Macaca fascicularis: one gene and its partner. The protein of the gene in region 1 interacts with the protein of each later gene in a pairwise test. Links are inferred from orthologs where the notes say so. Each region holds a gene or a part of one and is shown on either strand. Other genes may lie near its edges. The genes, in order: GSTA4 and CIMIP5.

Evidence for each region.
Region 2: the proteins of GSTA4 (region 1) and CIMIP5 interact in binary tests that used the Homo sapiens proteins (3 or more experiments, as listed by UniProt). The two-hybrid records come from large-scale screens. The link is inferred for Macaca fascicularis from reciprocal best matches to the Homo sapiens genes GSTA4 and CIMIP5.

The regions. Positions count from the first base shown.
Region 1 is NC_088378.1:118,790,188-118,794,000, reverse strand, and holds part of GSTA4 (glutathione S-transferase A4), read right to left. Parts: exon of another isoform or gene 3,620-3,813; coding exon 3,568-3,619; intron 1,783-3,567; coding exon 1,650-1,782; intron 777-1,649; coding exon 635-776; intron 1-634. UniProt on the Homo sapiens protein: Conjugation of reduced glutathione to a wide number of exogenous and endogenous hydrophobic electrophiles. This isozyme has a high catalytic efficiency with 4-hydroxyalkenals such as 4-hydroxynonenal (4-HNE).
Region 2 is NC_088387.1:110,968,360-110,972,921, forward strand, and holds the start of CIMIP5 (ciliary microtubule inner protein 5), read right to left. Parts: upstream 3,090-4,562; 5' UTR 2,904-3,089; coding exon 2,644-2,903; intron 1,353-2,643; exon of another isoform or gene 1,252-1,352; intron 1-1,251.

The DNA of each region.
Region 1 (3,813 bases):
TCCTTTTTCCTAAATCTAGTTCCACAAAGATGGTCAGAGGAAGCTTGCCAGATAGGGCTTCCCATATTTTCACATCCTCTTATTTAGTGTTTGCACTGAAACACTAAAAATACTCCTCCCAGTTCAGGAATAAAGAATTGGAAGCTCAGAAAAGCAGATATAACAAGAAGAGAAAAACAACAAAACCAAAAACAAAAAGAGCAAAGGGAAGACAAATAAAATGGAAATGTTCTTCTCCTCATATCAAATTATCAGGGAGGATGTCAGCTATGAGATAGCTGTTCAACAACTGTTTGTTGAATGAATGAATGAGGCAGTTTCTGTTTTCTGTATCTTCTGAAGTTTCTGCTGTATCCACACAAGGTGGGAACTTGGTGAATGCAAGGAACAATAAGGGACACAGGCAGGGAGCCCATACTTTTTCTAGACTCCTGAATCATGTGGTCCTAGCAGAGTCTGAGGGGCTCTAAGACACCAGCTTTGTGCTGTGGCTACTATTAGCTCTTAGGAGTCCATTAGCTCTTAGGTTAGTCCAACTGGGCTCAGTTTTAAAATGCTTGGACAGAAAAGGGTGTTTGTGGCAGCTTCTTTGTGGTTTGGTTACTCTGTGTACACAGGCATCTCTGCCACCTACCTTTTCAAACACAGGAAAGTATCTAATTATAGCCTTCTGGGCCATGTTAACCACTTCCTTTTGTTGATCATCTGGTTTTAAGAAAGGATGCATGATAAGCAGTTCCAGCAGATCCAGCGTCCCCTCCACATACATGTCAATCCTTAAAACAAAAGAGCAGTTGTCTCAGTTTCTCCTCTCTTTGAAGCCATTGGTTTCCACAACTAAGAATTCAGAGTGCTTTTTTTTTTTTTTTTTTTTTTTTTTTTTTAAGATGCTGGCAACTTAAGTCCCTAGAAGCATTTACCTATACCTGTCTCTTAAGAGCAAAGAGATAAGGTCAATTCTAGTTGTAACTCACAAAAATCTGTCACAGATCAGACAGCTTGAGAGTCACGAGTGCTTTCTTCCTGGCATCCTACTCCTCCACCTTCACCCCAGCATCTGTGTTTTGGTCTCTTAGTATGGGTCAAACTTCATCTTCATGAAAGTAGTGAATACCATTTATTGAGTGCTTAGAGTGTACCAGGCATGGTGCTAAACACTCTCCATTCATTATCTCATTAAATCACATGACACTATGAGAGATGTACTATTCTTATACCCACGTTGCCCAGGGTCATACATCTAAGGGGTGCAAGGACCAGGCTTTGAATTCAAATTATAATCTAATGGTCTCTAATGGTCACTCTCCCAGGCCTTGAACATCACAGCAGTTCCTCATTCCTAATACTTAACAATAGTGAATGTGTAAGAAAGGTAAAAAGCAGTATCAAAGCATTTAAAAATGTTGAAATCTGAAACAATGACACCCTAGATATAGTATTCAACATCTGAATCCAATTATTTTCTTTTGTTTTACTCAGACTCTCTCTACTGAAGTTCCAACTGGTCTTCGTGACCTTCTTGGGTTTTTGCTCCCTGATCTCATAACTATGTAAGACATAAAGTAAATGTGGTGTGCTGCAGAGGACTGCTAATCAGCTAAGGCATCAGTAAGCTGACAAGTGACAACACTTGAGAGGGGCCACAGTACAGGGTTCTCTCCTTGAGGTCCTTGCCAAAGAGATTGTGCTTGTCTGCTATGTAGTGGAGAATGCTTCGGGTCTGTACCAACTTCATCCCGTCAATTTCAACCATAGGCACTTGTTGAAACAGCAGGTGGTTACCTGAGAATGGAAGCCCAGAGTTAGAAGTGATCTCTTCTTCTCTGTCCCCCAACCCCTAAAAAATGCTCTGTTGAATGAAAAGAAATGTGGAATCATGGCCTTAGGAAATAGTGTAAAGCTTCCAGATGACAGATAACTTTAACTTCATTCAGGAGAGCAGATTTAGCCACAAAAGAAACCTGAAGGGGTCAGGCACGGTGGCTCAAGCCTGTAATCCCAGCACTTTGGGAGGCCGAGGCAGGTGGATCATGAGGTCAGGAGTTCGAGACCAGCCTGGCCAATATCATGAAACCCCGCCTCTATTAAAACTAAAAAAATTAGCCGGGTGTGGTAGCTGATGCCTGTTATCCCAGCTACTTGGGAGGTTGAGGCAGGAGAATTGCTTGAACCCAGGAGGCGGAGGTTGCAATGAGCCGAGATCATGCCATTGTACTCCAGCCTGGGCGAAAGATCAAGACTCTGTCTCGGGGGAAAAAAAAAAAAAAAAGAAGAAGCCTGAAAACTAGCATTGTTATAAACGTTCCCTTTTCATTTTCACCCCAGGAAAAATACCTATCCACAGTGATAAGGGATTAAGGGGAATGTAGTGAAGATATTTCTTCAGTGCTACACAGGCCAATACAGCAGTCAAAGCTACATGCAGCTATATAAATCTAAATTTAAATTAATTACAATTTTTAAAACTTAAAATTCAGTTCCTCAGTTGCACTAGACATATTTCATGTACTCAACAGTCACACGTGCCTAGTGGCTACCATATTGGACAGTGCAGAATACAATGTTTCCTTCACTGTAGAATGTTCTGCTGGACAGCAGTGTTTTTAGAGAATCTGATCATGAAACCTAAGTAACTAGCTGAGACTCATGTATACTCTTTGGCTCATGTATACTCTGTGGCTACTCTGTAGCCACAGAACAGATTGTTTACTACCAAGTCCGCTGTCACTAGTTAAAAAAACAACCCATTGTTTTCTTTAACAAATCTGAATCCAACACTTTCCACATACCAAACCCTGGGGAGAGATGCCTGTATAGGGTACAGCTTGGCCCTTGAGGGTTTGGGCATTCTGAAGGGGTGAGGGTAGAGGGGAAAGGAGTACTTAGCACATGCCTAGTGGCTTCCAGCCACCGTCGCACACAAAAGGTGGCCTTACAGCCCTGGAGTGCTGGTACCATACAAGGGAGCCTCCAGCTGGGCCTGAGGACCCTGCTGTTGGCTGGGAGGGAGGCTGCTCACAGGTTGATGGGTGCACTCTTTATGGGTCTACTGGTGGCTCCTGCTATAATGGATGGGCAAGGAGGGAGCAGGGCTGACCAGGAATTAAAGGTGAAGGGAGGGGCAGTTCGTCGATTTCGCTTCTGTGTGGTATTCACTTCAGAAAGTATCCCCATCGCGGGTATTTATTTGCATACTTCAAACAGGCCAGGATGCCTCAGATAGTATGAAGGAAGTAGGGAAAGATGAGAAGGAGGGAAAGGGCAAGGGAGAGAAAGAAAGGGGGAGGAGGAGATTAGAGGGGAGAGAGGGGAGAAGAAAGGGATGGAGGAGAGCTGTTCACTTGGGTGGGGAAGGAACTACTCACCCCCTTCAGCCAGCTTTTATGGAACTATTGAATAAGAAGTGATTTCCTGGCAATTTCAACTATTTATTCCCTCTTGCTTTTTTTGGTTTTAGGATACTGTTCTGAATGTTCAGTGTCATTGAATATTTTTGCCCTCCCACATAAACAGCAGTTCTTAAAGGAAAATCAGTATTAGAGGCAGTTGTTTCATTTTCATACTCACCATCCTGCAACTTGTGTAACTGTTCTTTTGTTTCCAGAAATTCTTCATCAAACTAAATTTTAAAAAAAGAAATGTATACATACATAGTGGAATATTATTCAGCCATTAAAAAAACAAAATCCTGTCATTTTCAGCAACACGGACAGAAACAGAGGTCATTACGTTAAGTGAAATAAGCCAGACACAGGAAGACAAAGACTGAATGTTCTGATTCATATGTGGGAGCTAAAAAGGTGGATCTCGTGG
Region 2 (4,562 bases), on another chromosome or scaffold:
TAACATGATACATACCAATCCACTCAAAAACATAGAAGGAAGCTTCATAACATTGGGCTTGGCAATTATTCCATGGATATGCCACACAAAGGACAGGAAACAAAAGCAGATAGACAGATGGGATTACATCAAACTCAAAAACTTCTGAAGAGCAAAGGAAACAAGCAACAAAGTGAAAAGGCAACGCACAGAATGGGAGACAACATTTACAGATCATATTTCTGATAAGGAGTTAATTTCCAAAATGTATAAGGAACTTCTACAACTTAGTAGCACAAAACCAAATAACCCAATTGAAAAAATGGGTTAAAGACTTGAACAGACATTTCTCCAAAGAAGATAAATAAATGGCCAATAAATATATGAAAAGATTATCAATGTCACTCATCATCAGAGAAATGCAAATCAAAACCACAGAGGTCAAACACGGTGGCTCATACCTGTAGTCCCAACACTTTGGGAGGCTGAGGCGTGTGGATCATCTGCTGTCAGGAGTTCAAGACCAGCCTGGCCGGAGCTTGCAGTGAGCTGAGATCGCACCACTGCACTCCAGCATGGGTGACAGAGCAAGACTCCGTCTCAAAAAAAAAAAAAAAAAAAAAAAAAAAGACCAGCCTGGCCAACATGGTAAAAACCTGTCTCTAATAAAAATACAAAAATTAGCCAGGAGTAGTGGAGGGCATCTGTCATCCTAGCTACTTGGGAGGCTGAGGCAGGAGAATTGCTTGAACCTGGGAGGCAGAGGTTGGAGTGAGCCGAGATCACGCCACCGTACTCCAGCCTGGGCGACAGAGGGAGACTTCATCTCAAAACGAAACAAAACAAAAAATCACAATGAGATACCACCTCACACCTATTAGGATGGTTGTTATCAAAAACCAAAAGACAATCAATGAGTGTTGGCCATTGTGTGGAGAAACTGGAATGCTGAGATACTGCTGATGGGAATGCAAAATGGTGCCACTGCTATGGAAAAGACAATGGAGGTTCCTCAAAAAATTAAAAATAGAGGTAGCATATAATCCTGCAATCCCTCCAATATGGTTTGAGTGTTTGTGCTCTCCAAATCTTATATTGAAATGTGATCCCGAGTGTTGAAGGTAGGGCCCAGTGGGAGGTGTTTGGGTCGTGACCGGCTTGGTGCCTTCCTTGCGGTAATGAATGAGCTCTTGCGCTATTAGTTCACAGGAGAGAGCTGGTTGTTAAAAAGAGCCTGAAACCTCCCCCTCTCTCTCTGGGTCCCTCTCTTACCATGCAACACGCCTGCTCCTCCTTCACCTTCTGCCATTATTGTAAGCTTCCCGAGACCCTCACCAGAAGCCAAGTGGATTCCAAGACTATGCTTGTACGGCCTGCAGAACGGTGAGCCAAATAAACTTATTTATAAATTACCCAGCCTCAGGTGTTCCTTGACAGCAATGCAAAATGGACTAAGACATCCATTTTTGAGAATTCATCCAAAAGAATTGAAACCACTCCCATGTCCATTGTAGCAATACATATAACAGTCAAATGTGGAAGCAACGTAAAGTCCATTGACAAATGAATAAAGAAACTGCACATATACACATTCAGCCTTAGAATGGGAGGAAATTCTGTAATACGCGACAAGATGGATGAATCCGGAGGACAGGATGCTAAGCTAACAAGACGGACATGGAAAGTCAAATATTGCACAATTCCACTTCTATGAGGCACTGAAAATACACTCCTGGGAGTAAAGACTAGAATGGTGGGTGCCAGAGGCTGGGAGGAGGGGGAATGGGGCGTTGCTAATCCACGGGTATGAAGTTTCAGCGGTGCAAGATGAGCGCTTCCTAGAATCTATCAGGCTGCTCATTTAAAAATGCTGTGTTCTTGCTTAAAGACCATGCCATGTACTTGCTTAAAATCCTGGATGGTGTCTCCTTTGGAAAAAATGCATCCAGACTTTTACGAGGGCTGGGGTGGCCCCCCCCCCCCCCCCCCGGCTGCTCCCCCTTATCCTGTGGCCTTCCTCACTCCCTGTGCCTCAGCTACACGAATTCTTTGTTTTGTTTTTTTAGATACGTCAAACTCTTGGCTCCTTCTCCTGTTTCATGTCTCAGCTTAAAAGTCTCCTCAGAGAGGCCTTCAGCCGGCTCTCCCCCTAACCCTGAACTGTTGTTTCCTTCTTACCGCTGGTCACATTTCTTACAGATTTGTACTTGTTTGCTTTTCTGCTTGCTTTTTGGCTGCCCTGTCCGGAGTATGAAGGCTCCGTGGAGCCATGGCCAGGTCAGTCCCTTGTTGCATCTGGTCTCCTTTCAGAGCGGCTCATGGGGATTTTTGGTTGAATGAAGGCATGAAGGAGCATCTTTCCCAGAGTCAGGTCAGATGGCCAGCGCCTCTCACCCAGACTAGGCCAGCAGGCTCCTGCTCCAGGGAGGCGGGGCTGCTCGGACCCAGCCGCATCTGATCCTGGCCTCCATCTTCCTGGCTTCCTAAGCTCAGGCTCGGGTCTGGCTCTGGGCTGGGCCGGTGACCCGCCTCCCCCCGGGCATGCCATGCTCTCTGTCCCTCAGCCCGGATCAGCTGCCCAGCCATCTCCCTTTCTCCAAAAGTTTCCCCAACTTGTAGTCAGGTTGCGGGGGTCAGGGTGGAGAAGGGAGGGCAGGCACTCACCAGCGCCGCTGGCCCCGACGCTCGGCCTCCAGGAGCTCCCGCCACAGCTGGTCCTGCTGCACGCCGCCACCGCAGGCAGCTCCCTGGGCCACCCGCTGCGCCTTCAGAGCCTGGGGGGCCTGACCGCCACCAGCAAGACCCTTGCTGGCCATAGGGCCAATCCGGGCAGCTGGGGAGACAGAGGTTGGCGGCCTGGTGGGGGACAATCGGTGCCCAGGTGATGTGGTTCTCTGGAGCCCAGGGGTGGGGTGGCTCCCCATGGGTGCAAGTGTGTGTGTGTGTGTGTGTGTGTGTGTGTGTGTGTGAGAGAGAGAGAGAGAGAGAGAGACTCCTGTGCCTGAGCTCAGCTCAAACCTCCTCCTGGAACACTCTCTCCCTCCTAACCCCGGGACAGCCTGGGCAGGGTCCTCCTCACTGTGGCTTTAGGCCTCGAGCTCAGAGTGGCCGATGGGGAGAGCATTTGAGCCCAGTTTTGTTTTGAACTCCCGCCTGTGTTGACTGTTGTCCTGGGAACGGGCAGCTCCCAGGAAAGAGGCGGGCCCCGTGTGTGCGTGCGGGTGTGTGCGTGTGTGTGTGTGTGTGTGTGTGTGTGTGTGTGTGTGTGTGTGTGTTTGTGATCTGAGCCCTAGGGCTGGGGGGCAGAGAGTTCTTGAGTAGATGCCACGCCCAGTTCAGCAGCCCCCTACCCCGAGGCCGGAGTCCTCCGAGCAGGGTAGGGGAGGAGGAGGGAGCGAAGCCGGGGCTCCTGGGGGCCACCCCCACCATTGTCGCACTTGGCTTCCGGCAGCCGCCTTCAGGCCGTGGGGCGATGATAGTCCTGTGCTGCCCCCTCGTGGATGCTGCGAGGCTTGCACGAGATGGTGGCCCTGAGGGCGCTCTGGGAATTGTGGATCAGGCATCAGTGTGAAGCTTCCTGCTTGTTTGGGAACAATGGCGGAGGTCATGAGCTTCTGTGGGGCGAGGGAAAATGAGTGCAATGCACTAGGAACATCCGCTCTGTCTGTAAACCCGGAGCGTTCACACAGCACTCTGCTTTATGTCTGAGACCTCCCAGCCATGCCTTTCCAACGCCATTCTACAGATGAGGAAACTGAGGCCCTTACCGGCAAGATTAAGTGACCGCCCACGGTCACACAGTCACCAGCTGAAGGGAACAGGGAGAACCTGAGGGCTCACGGTCCGAGCCCTCAGCCCTGTTTCTGTTCTAACTGGGTGCAGCCAGGCTCCCTCCGTGGCAGCCTCTCCTGGTCTGGCTCAGCTGAGCTCCAGGGATGCCCGCTGCTCTCATCACTTCTGCCTCCTGCACTCTCTGCTTCCCGTTCTCTGGGTTTCGTGCCGTTCCGGTAGGTGCTGGCAGATTCACAGTTCCTTCCACGCAGCTTCTCTGTGCGTCCATTCAGCTGGGCCGCTGCTTCCTATCGTTGTACAGGAAGAGCTAAGTGCAGACAAAACCCTGATGAATAGAGGCCTGGGCAGAGTGCCTGGGGTGCAGGGCAGCAGGGCAGCCAGTGAACCACAGGGCACTGTGGCCAGTCCTGTGTGCCCCTGCTGGATTCTGCTTCTGTGAGGGAGGCAGCAAGGAGTTGGGACTTCACAGGTGAAAGGACTTGCCAGGTAGAAAAACTGGGGTGACCACAAAAGCTTGGATGCAAGAGAGAGCCTGGCATTTTGGGAGATGTGTGGGAGGAGACAAGGACGGGGGTGGCAGGGCACATGGGGGCAGGCCCCGGGGTGTTTTCCACTGTATCCTGTACCCAGTGGGGAGATACTGATGGGCTGTGAGCCCCAACGGAACTGCAGGGAACAGAACCATCAGGAAAGGGGTAAGAAACAGGTGAGGTCGCCATTGCCATGGTGTGGGTAAGCAATGGCAATGAAGCCCCTACCGGGCTCAGGTGGAGGGCTGGCGTGGAGAAGAC